Ovis aries: one gene and its partner. The protein of the gene in region 1 purifies or fractionates together with the protein of each later gene. This does not show direct contact. Links are inferred from orthologs where the notes say so. Each region holds a gene or a part of one and is shown in the gene's direction. Other genes may lie near its edges. The genes, in order: ASXL1 and OGT.

What was found.
Region 2: the proteins of ASXL1 (region 1) and OGT purify together in Homo sapiens (affinity purification with mass spectrometry; 3 studies listed by BioGRID and IntAct, with this or other methods). This does not show direct contact. The link is inferred for Ovis aries from reciprocal best matches to the Homo sapiens genes ASXL1 and OGT.

Annotation. Positions count from the first base shown.
Region 1 is NC_056066.1:61,470,674-61,478,729, forward strand, and holds the start of ASXL1 (polycomb group protein ASXL1), read left to right. Parts: upstream 1-2,787; 5' UTR 2,788-2,992; coding exon 2,993-3,052; intron 3,053-4,216; coding exon 4,217-4,299; intron 4,300-4,534; exon of another isoform or gene 4,535-5,258; coding exon of another isoform or gene 5,259-5,261; intron 5,262-6,619; coding exon 6,620-6,728; intron 6,729-8,056.
Region 2 is NC_056080.1:64,197,462-64,205,391, forward strand, and holds the start of OGT (UDP-N-acetylglucosamine--peptide N-acetylglucosaminyltransferase 110 kDa subunit), read left to right. Parts: upstream 1-3,860; 5' UTR 3,861-4,056; coding exon 4,057-4,093; intron 4,094-7,428; coding exon 7,429-7,609; intron 7,610-7,930. UniProt on the Homo sapiens protein: Catalyzes the transfer of a single N-acetylglucosamine from UDP-GlcNAc to a serine or threonine residue in cytoplasmic and nuclear proteins resulting in their modification with a beta-linked N-acetylglucosamine (O-GlcNAc).

The DNA of each region.
Region 1 (8,056 bases):
TGGAAACAGATTTAGGCCTAGAGGAGAGTAGTGAGAGCCAGAAGGATGTGCTTGCTTTCTCCTGGAGGTTGAGGCTGTTCATTGAAATTCTCCTCTGAGTTTCTGTTCTGCAGGTGTTTATGACTCTGGGCACCAAAAGGAAATTTGCTTGCCAGAGTTTTTACTTGTTAGAGGTAGGTGAAAGTACCTTTAAATCCTTTCTTATTTATGTCCTGACAGAATTCTAAAGTCTGCCTGTCTTAAAGCTCCGTTGGCTCTTCCTAGTTGAAAGACTCTGGGAATTCAGGGGTCCACTATTATGTCTCTTTATAGTCTTGAGTTTACTGTGATCTACAATCCAGTTCCAGGTTGCTATTTCTGTTTTATCATGGCTCAGTTTGTCCCCAGTAAATTCTTTTTCTTTTATGATTCTTCATTAAAAAATAGTATTTCCTACTGGGAATTACTTTATGCTCTTAAACTCTTGCAAGATGACTTGTGGGAATATAGTGTATAGTTTTGTATATCTTCTATTGTTTTTTGTTTAGGATTTTCTGTCCCTTTGGATGGACCAGTTGGTGGGTGAGGGGGAGCTCTTAAGAATTCTCTGCTCATATGGAAAAAAAAAATTGCTTTAACAAACCAAGTGCTGGAGAGTTTGTGAGTGCTTACACTGGATAGAGAGAAGAGTGAGTTGTAATGGTAGGAGGGTAGGTTAGTTCTAAGTACTCTTTGGACAGGTGAATTTGGAGTGCTTGCTGTGGCAATCAAGATGCACTTGCTTGGGGGCAGTTTCATATTGCTCCCGACCTTGCTCAGTTTGGTGGTTAAAATGATACCAGGAACCGTTTTTAAGCTATTCTGATAGGAAAGAAGAGACTTATGGACTATTTCAGTAATGTAGTAAATCCCAGGAGATTGATTTTTGCAGCTGTTAATTATGTTGTTGAGAAGTAGATATTCTTCTTTATAACACCTGCTGGTATTGTTTTTCCTAGATGTAGAAAGTAGACTTTAGGTGGTTGGGTGGGTCTAAATCCTCCTGCTTGTTAGAAACAGTTTGGGAGAAATAGCTGAGTGGATTTCCCTTTAGATTGAATGCCCTTAAATGGATTCTCCCTGGCTTTGAGAAACTCTTCATTGCATGCTTTATCTTTCACTTTGATTCATGACTGACCATTCTTACATCAAACATTTTTTCCCCCTTTGAAGTTGGAGAAGAGATACTTTTTGTATGCTGTAGAAAGACAGGGTGGGGAGAGAACACTGCTGAATTGTTCTTACACTAAAAGCTGAAGGCATATACAGTTTTAATAAAAGTGAATACCTTGTATCTTTTGATGTAACTTCCCTATAGAGATTCTGTTTCCTCTGTCTTAAGATTCTCAGGCTCTTCCTGACTGCTGTTTAAATAATTGGTAACTAATTTTTGAGTCTTGCTTCTTAAAAAACAAAAAATTACTGTGAAAAAATTCACTAGCTCAGCTCACAATTAGTATCAAAGAAGTCATATCTGTGGCAGTGAACATTAGTAGTTTGTATTGTGGGTTTGTTCATCAGTGCTGCTTAACTTGGCAGTTAGGTTCTTGGAATTACAGAAATGGATATGGTCTGCCCTTGAGGAGCTTATGGTTTTTCTGGGGTTAGAGTCCTTCTCTAACAGGTGAGTAGAATTTCATTACAAGCATGGTAAGTGCCAGCATAGATGTATAAATGGTAATAGACATCCTGATTTCTGCTTACTGTCTAGGCATAATTATGAGTAGTTCCTCCTTTTATTCTCAAGTGTCCTGCTTTGGAAGATGAATTATATGTGTTGTGCAACTATGGGGCACTGAAAAAAGACGCTTAACTATCTGGCAGAGAGTAGAGAAGGCTTCCTGGAGGAAGGTGCTTTCCGAACTGAATCTTGAAGGGTGAGTAGGAGTTAGACTCCTCACAGAGGACATAAGCAGGAGTTGGCAACAAAAAATAGGAGAGTGTGTGTATGTGTGTATTTATCTGCAGGGTGGAGAGTGTGGGAATTGGGTAGACCTGCACGTAGTTATTGGAACATAAAGTTTGTGGAGTATCAGAGAGCCAGGCAGAGACCAGATTGTGAGGGTCTGGCATGCCTGGCCAGCACACACCTTGTGTCTGGCACCATAGGCACTTACTCCATTATCTCTGCAACAACTCTGAGAAGAAGGCCTCAGTATCCTTCCTTCACAAGTGAGGAAACCTAGACTCAGGGCGGGTAGGTAACTTGCCCAGGTTTTTTTGTTGTTCAGTCGCCAAGTTGTGTCCAACTCTTTGCAACACAACTCTTTGCCCAGGTTTAGAAGACCAGAATTTGAATGTTTAAAACCACGTCTGTTTGCTTTTAAAACCCGTGCTTTTCTAGTGGGCCAGTGGCCTCTCTGGAGCTTCAGCTTCCGCTGTATGGAAATAGGTTGCTGTCGAAGGACTTTAATGCAGAAAGTGGTGAGGGCAGGTTTATTTTGTTGGACTGACCTCAGGCTATAGCAGGTTAAGCTCTGCTGAGCTTTGGTCTTTTTTACTGATGAATGTCTAAAATTATTCCTAGCACAGAGTATTTCATGTATTTGTTGAATGAAGGATGGCAGCGGAGTAAGAATGAATTTGAGGAAAGCAGGGATGTTAGAGAAGAGGCTGTTGTGTCAAGTTGGGTCAGACACTGGCTGTGGGGGAACTTCCCTGGTGACCAGTGGCTCCAAGACCTCGTACTCGCAGTGTAGGCGGCCCAGTTTCGGCTCCTGGTTAGGGAACTTGATCACACATGGTGCAGTTAAGAGTTTGCGTGCTGCAACTCAAGATCTAGAGTGCTGCTACTAAGACTTGGTGCAGCCAAATAAATTAAATAAAAAAAATTTTCTTTTAAAGGAAAGAAACTGGCTGGGAGAACTGGGGGACAGGTGAGAGTGAAGGATGATGCCTTGGTTTTAAATTAGGTGATGAGACAGACTGCCAACCAAGGAGAGGAATATCAGAAGAGAGAAGATGATCATGAGGGATGTCCAGTACCGAACTGAATATCTGCGGCCTGAAGCTTAGGGAGAAATCCAGGCAAAAGGTTGAGATTTGGGAGTTAATTCAGTATTTTGGTAGCGTTGAAACTGTGAGAGATGATAATGATACCCAAGGAGAATGTAAACACTGAACAGAGAGATTAAGAATGGGACCATAGGAAATAGGGGTTTTATTTCAGCACCTGCTTCTCCAAAACTTGACTTCTTTATCACTTAGAACTCTTGTTCTTCCACGGAGAGAACCTTCACAGCAGTCCTGTTAGGCTTCTTGCTTTGCATTTTATCTGTGACACAGCCATGCAGTACTTTGTTAGGGCTGTTAAATGACTGTAAGATGTTGGTGTGGTTTGGCGTAACCTCAGCAGCTGTACTGCTAGAGATGGTACAGAGATACTGACAGCCTGTCTTTTTTCCTTTCTGAAAAGGATAACATTTCTAAAACAACTCAGCTTGTTCAAGTGAGAGAGCACTGGTTGCTCACTAAGACATTGTTGCTGGGGCTTAATTATAGATGTCACTAATATAAATGGGATGTTCCATTTCTCCTTGTTTTGCTTGCACCAATCATATAGAATCGTAGCATTGTATTGCTGAAAGGCAAATTGTCCTGTACTAATTAACACCAGAATGCCACAACCCAGTGGCGAAAGTCATCATTGAAAAAATACAGGTACCTGGAATTCCCTGCCCGTCTGGTGGTTAGGGCTACATCCTTTCACTGCTGAGTGTCCAGTTCAATCCCTAGTTGGGGAACTAATCCTGCAAGCCAAGCCGCCGCTCCCTCCCCCCTCCCCCCTCCCCCCACACAAAAAAAGATAAAAATATTGTAACTAATCAAACTTACTTGGGAAGGAAAGCCTGAATGCAGTTCTGTCTTACAGTTTATAGTGCTATGTATTCTCTAGTTTAGCTGTATTAACAGCATCAGGTTAAGTGGCAATTAAAGTTGGGAAGGCCCCACATACCAGAACATGGATGCTGAGAGGATGTGTATTTTCAGAATTGAAAATTAGAGTATTTCTTCTAATTGCAGTCACTTTCAGCAACTAGTTAGATATATGTGTAATTTGGTTTCAGAAGTAATTTTGACTGTGGAAAAACTAAGATGTCAGCAGTGGTACCTCATAGCAGAATTGTAGCCCATGTTGTATAGTAATGGATATAAATGGGAACTGCACACTGAAATCAGAACATTTATATTTCTTCAGGTACTGGAAAACTATTCGGATGCTCCAATGACACCCAAACAGATTCTGCAGGTCATAGAGGCAGAAGGACTAAAGGAAATGAGGTTTGTATGGCTCTTGTTGCTTAATGTGAGGGTTTTAGAGAACATGTGTCTTCCTGCAGTTAGGTAGTGAATGAGAAAGTCCACAAATGCATATATGTGTGCACACATACACACACACGTGTTTGATGGTAGTGTGGAGCTGTCTCGGTGTCTTTGGTCCTCTGGCTGGAGGGCGGGAGTGGCTGCAATTCTGTTGGTTTTCATCAGAGGTGCAGCAGGTTCCCCGTCCTTGCTCTACTATGCCTTTCACCGTGGAGCTTGTTTTTTGCATAAGGAGTCAGCGTGTTTTCTCTTGTATTCCGTTTTGCACGTGTCAGTAGTAGAGAAGGAATAGACTGATCTGCTCCATCATGTCTAAAACTATCCTTCTCTCTGTACCATATCTCTGAAGTTCTTTGTTTTTAGGCTCAGAGAAGGGTGATCCAATCATAAAACTTACTGATTTTTTTCCCCTACTGATTCTAGCCTATCCTGCTATGAGCATGCTAAATTTGGTGATGACCTTGATTTTCTTATCCTATATTTTTCCTAGAGAAGCAACAAATTGGAAACACAAAAAGAATTGCAGGCACAAATAAAAACCAGGGACTGTCCTGAATCCTTTCTCTGCTCACCCCAACCTTTTTTTCAAAATTTAAGTGGGAGAGGAGAGCACAACACAGTTCCTTCTTGGGATTCAGAACAATCAGCATATATTTTGCTGGTTAAGCTTTAGCTACTTAAATTGATCTTTTAGGATCAAAAGATCCTCACTTTCCAGTTGTCAGTTCACACATTCTCAAACTGACATTTGTGGGGAGGGAAGGTCGGGATTGTCTGGATCATGTTCTGGTGCTTCATGTAAATACTACCTATGCACGGTGTGGTGGTTTAATTGCGTCTTTTGTTTTATTTTGTTTTTATGGGCTATTTCCCATCGCGCCGCTGTCTGCACTGCTGGTGGACCACTATGCCTATAGAAGGTAAATTAGTCCTTTTAGGACAGATGGAATTGAGAACCTAACTTGTTTCTGCTTCTGGCTCTTACAGGAATTATGAAGTGGTCATGGTGGCTCGTGATGAGTGAGCAGCTCTATAATTTGTAGACAGAGGGATAGTGTGTAGGAGTCACGCTGTTGGAAGAAAGACTCTGCCAGCATGCTTTCCCCTGTAGCAGAGATGTTAGCACACCCACTTGACACTCCAGATTCTGCACAAGGTTTCTTATAGAGATTGGTCCTTGGTGAAATTTTTTTTTTCTTAGGCGTGTAGGGTGTTCCAAAGCCGAATAAGTAATAGTTTTTTTTTTGATGACTTTTTTAGACTCAAAATTTATTTTTAACGTGACAAAAATTAGGGCCTCTAATTTTGAAAAATGCTGAGAGGCATTACTTAAGATATTGATATTTATATATCTTGCTGGAGAGAGGGACAAGAAGGTGCACAGGTAAACCCTAGTACTAACATGCTAGTGCCAAACTCAGTTAATAATGGGCATTTGTCTGTATTTTTGACAATGTCTCTTTTTGAGACTGAATAAGTAGTCTCTAACTCACTCGAGTTGTCATTGTTTTGCAACCTTCTGTTGTAGCAGGAACTGTGAAACAACTTAAGATGCTATCTCTTTGTTTTTGGTTTAATGGTTGAACATTATATTATTGCATACTAAGTCTGTTTGACTTTTTTAATTCAAATTTAAAGAATTGCTCCTGGGTAGATACAAAATAAAATGCATCTTTCCCCCTTCCCAACTGAGAAAAAGCAAATGAAATGCTATTCCTTTTGTGTGTGTATTGAAAAATAATTTAACTGGAAAAAAAAAGTATGTTTATTTTCTCAGGACAGCATCACTGATGCCTGGTCTTTGTGTTAAAAATGTTATGTGGCAGTTTCTGAGCATGATGTGCAGGTTGAAAGATAGAGGCTAGGGAACCCTGGTTTTGTTTCTAATTAGCATTAAAATTTAATTTAAAAAATTTTGAGTAAATAAAAATATTGGGTAATTTTTTTTTTCCAAAACTCCTGAGTGTTCCTGAAAAATCTGTGCAGTGTTTCTAAATTTCTTGAGAGTTTGGTTCATATTGGCAAAAGGCACTCAAGAATCATCAGATGTGGAGTAGAGATACCACATAACCTGTTATCCCAGAGCTCTCTAGGTGTGATTTATGTGAATTTCATGTGCTACTCCTTTGCCACTTTCAGAACAGAATTCTTGTCATGGGATGTTTTATATTTCTTCCTGTTCTTCTTGATTTAATAATGAGTTGAAGTGTAAGAGATCTTTGAGTAAGTAGATATCTTGGTTTGTATGACCTTTTTCCATCCTTGTATGTTTTTACAGTGGGACATCCCCTCTCGCATGTCTTAATGCCATGCTACATTCCAATTCCAGAGGAGGAGAGGGGTTATTTTATAAACTACCTGGCCGAATCAGCCTTTTTACACTCAAGGTAAGTCATGTAAATTCTCCTTTAGTGCAGTGGTTCTTGAAATTTTAGTGTTCATAAGGATTACCTGGTAGGTCTGGAATGAAGCCCACAAATTTGCATTTATAATAGGCAGGTGAGGGATGCTGCTGTTGTTCTGAAATGGCACCTTGAGAGACGATCTAGTGTGAACAGGGTATTAGGAATTATTAAATATTTAGTCATATCAGCTATTGTGTCTGTAATGTTTTTCCTTGTCTATATCTTTGCAGATTATATGCAATAGAGGGATAAGTATGTGTGTGGGTAATTGCAAATGTGCTTAATTATGAATTTGTTTATAATAATGTTGTGAAGGATAAATTGCCGGACAGCTGAGTAAGACCTACTCTATGGAAAATAACTGAAATTTGAAAATACTTGTGGAAATTAAAAAACTCGTTAGCATTTAACAAGTGACACTAATTACTATTGGAGAGAAATCAGGTAGAATTCACAATAAAGCTTAAGTAGAGCGAACTGATGGAGAAGGCAGTGGCACCGTACTCCAGTACTCTTGCCTAGAAAATCCCATGGATGGAGGAGCCTGGTGGTCTGCAGTCCATGGGGTTGCTGAGAGTTGGACACGACTCAGTGACTTCACTTTCACTTTTCATGCATTGGAGAAGGAAATGGCAACCCACTCCAGTGTTCTTGCCTGGAGAATCCCAGGGGTGGCGGAGCCTGGTGGGCTGCCATCTATGGGGTCGCACAGAGTCGGACACGGCTGAAGCGACTTAGCAGCAGCAGCAGAGTGAAGGAGTAGGCAAATTTTTTTCTGTGAATGACCAGATAATATTTTATGTTTTGTGGGCCACACTGTCTCTATCATAACTATTCAACTTTACTGTTGAAGTGGGAAAGCAGCCACAGGTAATGCACAAATGAATGGGCATAGGTGTGTTCCAATAAAACTTTATTTATGAAAACAAACAGTGTGCTAGATTTGGCTTGGTGGTGGTGTTTGCTGACTCCTAATTTAGACATAGTTGACCTGTTGGTAATCCACTCCAGTGTTCTTGCCTGGAGAATCCCAGGGATGGGGGAGCCTGGTGGGCTGCCGTCTATGGGGTCGCACAGAGTCGGACACGACTGAAGCGACTTAGCAGCAGCAGCGGCAGACCTGTGATGGTGAAGGATGAAGCTGAAAATCTGATGCTAATCCTTCTAATCATCCATAATGTAGTTATAAATTGCAGTAGTCCATAAAATGTTGTTTTAGTTTTGTTTTGATAGACTTTATTAAAAATGAAGATTTGAACAAGCAGCAGCTGTATAACCTGTGGTCATAAATCTTGATCTGTAGATACACA
Region 2 (7,930 bases), on another chromosome or scaffold:
GTAGTCAGATTAGTGAGCTGCTGCACTAACCCAAGAAAAGAGTAAGTATATATAGGCATATATGTGGAAATCTACTGTCTTAAGGGGGCCTGTTCTTCTCCAAGGTTGTTCAGAATAGTTCTCTCTTAAACGGCTGGGGCAAGGCATTTGGAGATCTGCCAGAGGCTGGGACGGGCTGGGAGCTGGGTGTAGTCAACCTGAACGTCCATTTTTTTTCTCCCAGTGAGAGAGTTCTTTGTTTTGCATGGACTGGTGGGGAGGACCCGGAGGGGATTTTGAGCCTTTCCTTCACGGACCACCCTCCATTGTTGTGCCCCGGGTTCTCTAGCTGAGGACCACAGGGCTCTAAGTGCATCTGCTCAGTTGCTCGGAGGCATGTGACATCTTCCCAGATCAGGGATCAAACCTGTATCCCCTGCACTGGCAGGCAAATTCCTAGCCCCTGTACCAGGAGGGAAGTCCCAAGGGCAGCCTTGAGGCATAAGTCCAATAACTACAGGTTCATTGAGGGAAGATGCAAATCTCCATTCTGAGATTCTAAACTCTTCAATTATTTTGTTCTCAGCACACAGTTTCAATCTGAAGACTGAAAATATTTTCAGACATCATTCTGTGTTGGATCTGGATTGGAAGAATGAACCAAGACTTTGAATCTTACTTCCTCCATTTTGATACAGGCCTCCTCAAGAGTTTGCTGGTCAAGAGGCTAAGGGGTATGACTATAGTAATGATCTTTCAGAAGTCACATCTTTAAAAACGACTGGTGCTGAGGAGAGGACACTGCATCCTCATCTGGCAGAGCTCCCAGAGGGTGCAATCCTCTTGCTTTTCTGCTTTTGTTCTGCAGAAAGCCACCTTTTTAAGGTACCCATTAGGCTTTCACTCTTTGATCTATTTTGTTCTTTTTCATCTTCCCTGTTGATATCCCAGCTGGCCATGTCTTTACCATAGCAGCTACCAAATAAGGAATCATGTTTTCCAAACTCACTGGCTAGTGATGGTTGCTGTGCTACCATGAAATCAGTTTCATCCTTTTATTCGGGTTCAACGATTTCCGGGAGGTTTTTAAACAAATTTTCTTTGTTTATGACTGGTTAGCTAATCCGGGGGGGGTGGGGTGGAGGTCGATCTCTCTCTGGAACAGTATCCGCAAACATCTGATGAGCCTGCGGTGCTACATCTGTGTATTCTTCCAGCTTCATTGAACCATTTGGTGGCAGCGGCCAGAGCGTGTCTCAGGCTCCCTCACCGAGCGCAGGTGCAACTGCTGCAAAATATGTATTTGTTTCAAGCCGCTAAGTTGGTGGTAATTTGTGAGACAGTAACAGAAAACTAATACACCATTAGCAGTGTTATTAAGGTGGCAAAGTTTGGGGTTGCAGTGGAAGAAGCATCTGGTTTGTTTTAGATGATTCTGAATTTTGAATTGCTACCCATAAAAGGGAGAAAACAAAACAAAACATTAAACAGAAATCGGTGTGAAAGAGAACACACAAAAGCACCCCCTTCAACACCTAGGTCACGCCTTCTTTGTCACCCTTCTCCAGCCTGAAGTGACTGTTCCCTTCTCAGATATTTACAGACACTGATGTATTTTATCACCTTTATAATGCTCTTCTTTTTTATGCTCTAGTGGCTTTCTGAGTCTAACTACCTGGGCTTCAATTTCCTTGAGGGCAAAGATCTTCCCGTTGATTTTTGCATCTCCCACAGTGCCTTGCACAGACTCTAGTAAATGTTACTTGATTGGCCAAAGAAGATGGTTTTATCTGGTAAGTCCTTCAAACTAAACCCTCCAGGTGCTACTCCTGGAAAGCACCTGGAGGGGGTTCTTGAGATTCCAACAGGGTGTGGGGGGGTGTTTCCTTATTGATTCACAGTGAGCCCCACCACCCAGCTTTTCCCAGCAGCATCCCTTGATTCCTCTCTCAGGAGAAGGAAACTTAGACACAAGTATGGATGGGCCAAATAGCTGGCCCAGCTGGCAACATAACCTGGCATTGAAGAAGAATTTTACTTAATTAGCTAAGCACCCTCTACTCAGGAAGGCCTAAACATCTGCCAGTGGAATTTGAGAAGTCTGTTATAAAAGTTGAAAAGCTGATTTTATTCACCACAGATCAAACACTTGTAGTGAGGGGTGGGGCACCGGGGGGAGTGGGGTGGGGGGAAGGTTTTACCAGTTAAATTAAGAGAAGAAGCTGGTGCCCAATTTCCAGGAAAGTTTGTGCAGTGAACTTTTTCACTGCACCTGACTTTTAATTATGGATGTAATAGAAGAAATTATCAATATTACAAGTTTCTTCTGCACTCATATCCATAATTAACAGTATGTGAACTGTCTCAGATAAATTAAAGCAAAATTTGAGGACCTAAGTTTTTTTAAAAAAATAAGTGGTCAGATGACTAGGTAGTAGAAACATTTTGAATAAACTCACGGACTTGTTGTCTTAGATCAAGGACTATTTTTGGGGAAATAAAAAGGCTCTGAGAGCCCCAGCTTCTTGCCTTCATTGGTTTGTAATTTCTTGCTAATGTGGCAAGCTACTTTAATCCTTTCTGGAACAAGAGATGCAATATAAATTAATACTAAATGTGACAAAACGTCTGAACAGTGGACTTGAAACTGCAGGAGGATCATAAAGAACTGATTTGTTCAAGGAAGCGCAGCAGTTTAGTCTCTAGATGTGTGGTTTAGGTAGATGGCAAATGAATCAATTTATCATTGTTGAGCTGCCTTGAGTTAAATGGTATCACTGATTGTAACAATTCACAAAGCAATGTGGTGGAAATGAAGTCAACTCGGAAGGGTCATGGATTTTGAAGAATATGAATCTTTAACAGTTTTATGGCTGCTGCCTTTGCAGTGCAAACTGTCAGCATGTCCCTGAGTTGTGAAGCATTTGCCGTAATACTGTGGGCAAAATTATCGTGAAACCAAGAGGATTTGGAACTTTTGGGCTATATGGCCAAAATCTGAGATGCTTGGGTTCATTTGGCCCTGAGAAACTCAATCCTTTTAATCAAAGTGCTTAAACCAATGGCTGGAATCAGAACTAACACGTGTTCAAATTGGAACTCTCTCTTTTGAATTCTAGACTTTGAAAATATAACCATTTAGATTTACTTGCTCAGAATTGATTCATCATCTTTCAACTATACGAATGAAGTTGATGAAACCTGTATACGCCTTTGGCATTCCTATTAAAATCTATGCTCTTTGCTAAGTAGTAGACTATACCATGGAGAAGGCAATGGCAACCCACTCCAGTACTCTTGCCTGGAAAATCCCATGGACGGAGGAGCCTGGTGGGATGCAGTCCACGGGTTCGCTGGGAGTCGGACACGACTGAGCAACTTCACGTTCACTTTTCATTTTCGTGCATTGGAGAAGGAAATGGCAACCCACTCCAGTGTTCTTGCCTGGAGAATCCCAGGGACGGGGGAGCGTGGTGGGCTGCCGTCTATGGGGTCGCACGGAGTCGGACACGACTGAAGCGACTTAGCAGCAGCAGCAGCAGCAGCAGCAGCAGCAGCAGACTATACCACTGGCAAAAGTGTCATTCAAGTGTATAGTTTCTTTTAAACCATCCGCTTCGCTAGTAAAAAAAACTTGGTGGCTCCTGTCCCAGACAGTGCCCTAACAGCCAGTCGGGCTGACACGGCTGCTCGCATGCGCTCTAGACATAATCGTGTTTGTCGCAATGGGCCCTGCGCGGAAGGTTACATAGGAGCGATTGACTTTGATTATAGTCATTTTGTTGGTAGCACTGGTTACCGCGCTACTTCCGCGCTGGTACTTGATTGTAACAGAAAGTAGTTCCGGTCCGTGTTGTTTCGGCCGAGGAGCCGTCGCCGCCATTTCAAGACCGTGAGAGGTAGATGGCCAACCAGAGTTCTAGGGTTCGAAAGCTGTAACTGTTGCTGCTGCTTAAGCCTGCCAAAGCACTGGTACGGCTGCTGCCCTCGTGCTCCTACCTCTAGAAACATTATTGCCAGTAGTGGCGGCTGCAGGATTCAATCACCCCCTTCTTGCACTCGCTCTAGAAGCTCCAGATGGCGTCTTCCGTGGGCAACGTGGCCGACAGCACAGGTACCGGTGTCTGTTCTACTTTGGCAGACGCCCCCTTGGGGTCTCGCGCCGTCCTCTGCCTCTCATCACTCCCTCCCCTCTGGCCATCCCCATTGCATCAGTGGCATCGCTAAGCTTTTCGGCGTCTAGCGGCATCTGATCTGGGTTTTCTGCTGTCGTCCGTTCCTAAAACATTTTCTCTCGCTTGCTTGCTTTTTGCTTCCTTTCTTGCTTTGTAATCCTATACATTTTCTAGCCTTCTGCTCTCTCGGGACCCTTCTACACCTGCGCGCTTAGACTGTCTCAGAATGGACTGCATTGGAATCCCTGCCCTTCTCGCTGCCTTTCATTCTCCTTCGCAGTCGTTTTCTCCCCAGTTCAGCTCACCGCCCCCTTCTCTTCCCCCTCCACCCCGCTCCCTTTAGCCCGATTTGGTGGTCCTCTGTCAATCTAGGGCGGAGGTGCCGTTCCAATGTAATCGTATCCTCACTTTGCATCACCCCAAGGACGAGCGCAAGCTCCTGGGTGCGCTCCGAGTAACCTCTCCAGCAGGGGATTTTGAGCAGCACCGCGCCTGGCAGCGCCTGTGTGCTGTGCCTTGGGTTGAGCGGCCCCGGTTTCGATTGGAAATTTCCAGGGGTTTCTTTTGCCATCTCCCAATTCCACTCGCTGCCCCCAGCCTGGATTTCCCACCCTGTCCTCCCTCCGCTCCCGCGGGGAGCCACACCCTTTCCTTCGCGTGGTTGCCAGCCCTGCGGTCCGTTTCCTACCCTCGGGGAGAAACCACTCTAGTGCGGGGGCTTCGGCGTTGACCATCCTGCCCGCCCAATTCTCGCTTTGTGTTACTTTGTCCTTGTATTCCTCCGCCGCCGTCTGTCTCTGGGTCTTCCATCCCCATTCTTTAGCCCGGTATTTCTTTATTCATAGGGGGTATATTTTTTTGAGTTTTCATCCCTGCTTGAAGAGTTTGTAAAGCAACTGGAGTGTAGCTGCACAAGTGCAAGGCGGTTGCCCTTTTAGACAATTAGTCTGAGAGCATTTAGTACTAAAAATAAGAAAACTCCAAATTATAGGGGTGTCCTTCAGCTGCCTTTCCGTATTGAGGCTGTTTGGGGCGGGAGGGAGGGGGGATTGGGCTGCGGTTCTAAGGTTTCCCACGAGGTTATTTTTTTGTTGGTTTCTCAGTTGAGATGTCAAGGGTTTTATTGTTCTTGGACATTGTGCACTAAGAGATGAATCTTCAATTGTATCTTATATTTGACTGTAGGTAGTGAGATTGGTAGTGTTCCCCTCTCGCTCAGGGATTTTTTTTTAAAGATTTAAGAGTCTGTCCTAGATTCTCTTGTTCTAGCTTGCCCTTTTCTTTCTTTTTTGGCCGCACCATGCGGCTTGCGGGATCTTAGTTCCCCGGACCAGGCATGGAACCTGTGCCCCCTGCATTGGGAGCGCATAGTCTTAACCGCTAGACTACCAATGAAGCCCCTGCTTGCCCTTTTCTGCCTGTTATTTTATTTGAGAAAGTTGTCATTTCTAGTGTTAAAATAGCAGATAGGCGGCTTTTGAAAAGTTGATAAAGTATGGGTTAAAAATAAGGAGCAAGGAAGGGAGTTCTAGAGACTTGTTTAAAATAGATAGAGTGAATAGTGAAGTCGCTCAGTCGTGTCCGACTCTTTGCGACCCCATGGACTGTAGCCTATCAGGCTCCTCCGTCCATGGGATTTTCCAGGCAAGAGTGCTGGAGTGGATTGCCATTTCCTTCTCCAGGGGATCTTCCCGACCCGGGAATCGAACCCGGGTCTCCCTCATTGCAGGCAGACGCTTTACCATCTGAGCCATCAGGGAAGCCCCAAAATAAATGGGACCGAATTGAACAGAAGCAGAGTGAGCTGGGAAACAATAGCAGTCTGGAATTCTCCAGGCCGGAATACTGGAGTGGGTAGCCTTTCCCTTCTCCAGGGGATCTTCTCAACCCAGGGATCGAACCCAGGTTCCCCACATTGCAGGCAGATTCTTTACCAGCTGAGCCACAAGGGAAGCCCATAAGAGGTATAACCGTCCACAAATGTGGATGCAGGTCTCTCTGCTCTTAACGTTAGTGGTCAGCTAGCTGTGCCTTGTTAGGAAATTTACTTTACTTTCCTGAGTATACAGTTCATTTGCCAGGTCTAATGATTGAGGGTCTAGGCTCAATATTAGCTTCTCACTTGGAGCTTGGTAGAATTTAAGTATTTAATTTGTAGAAAGTTTCTTACTCTGTCTCCTGGAAGTACTGTGGTCAAATTCCCAAGTAATGTATCATTGTTAAAGTATTTACACTTGAGACTTAGGCAGCTTGTTGTTGTTTTCCATCTCTGGGCTTTAGCTGTATATTCTTTATCTTTTTGTATCTGAACAAAGTTACACACAGCAAAGTACATTCATTTATTATTAATTTAGTTGCACTTTATTGAATGGTTTTATATTTTAGCATTTCTCCATTCTTTAAAAAATTCATTGCAGTTGTAGGTTTATACAGGGTTGTTTGCAGTGTTTTAGTCCTTTTAGTCAGTATCAGAGCTCTTTAGAAAATGCTAGTGTTAAACCATCGTGGGTGGGATTTAGCTAATTTGGTCTCAGTGTGAGTTTGGAATGGTTACAGGAGCAATATAATATAATCTTGGATTTTGATTTAAAATGTTTGACCCCTTTAAATATTTTGGCTCTTGACAGATGAATTCATCTTGTTTATCAGCTGTTTTAAAAATAGCACCTTGACTTTTAGTTTTTTCCCCTTATGCCTGTTTCTAGTGTCACCCTTAAAATAATTTAAAAATTAAGTTGTGAAATAATAAAAAAGCATGAATATAATTTGAAGAGTTAACCACACATCTGGTGTCCCCACCCAGGTTAAGAGGTAGATTGTTACCAGTACCCCCCCCCCAATCCAACCTAAAACATGGGACAAAGTATTAAGTTTCCCAGTAGGTTATTCTGACATTATTACATCTATGTGACCTCGCAAATCACATGTTTTATATTTCGTTTCTCTATATTAACTGAAGTATAAGGAGTGTTTAGTAGTGAATCTTTAGATGCTACATCTGATTTGTATTTTAAAATACCAAGTATTTTTGGTCATAAAATATCTCATTTGCAAGTAAATATTTCTGTGTAGGCGGGGAATTCTAAAAATGCCAATTCTGCACCTGATGTTAACTTGGGGGTATCGATAATGTGCAGAACATTCTAGTGCTTTACATAGTTTCAAGCGTTTTCATCTTTAAGTTTAATATACCATATTTTTACATTTTTTTGTTTGCATTTCTAACTTTTTGTTTTCCCCCCTCCTTCCCTCAAATGTTTTGATGATTCTCCAGAACCAACGAAACGTATGCTTTCCTTCCAAGGGTTAGCTGAGTTGGCACATCGTGAATATCAGGCAGGAGATTTTGAGGCAGCTGAGAGACACTGCATGCAGCTCTGGAGACAAGAGCCAGACAATACTGGTGTGCTTTTATTACTTTCATCTATACACTTCCAGTGTCGAAGGCTGGACAGGTAGGAGATGTGGGGGTGATGCTGGTGATTGCTGCCTCTGAGTGCTGAGCTTGAAAAATGTTACTTAAATATCTGAACTTGAAATTTTTCCAGTTCTGGGTTTCACCTGGAGCCACCAACGCACATCTGCTCTCTTGCCCACTTGTGATAGGCCCAGCTGCCAGTTTTCTTCCCTTCTTTTGTGGTGGTGGTTGTATTATTGGTATAACTAGGAACCTTTTCTAGATTTTTCCACCTACGTCGGCTGCTTTTTTAGAACTCTTTTTCAGGTAATAAATTATTCTTGGTCTACATCTGAGCATCCAGTCTCACCTTTGTAAG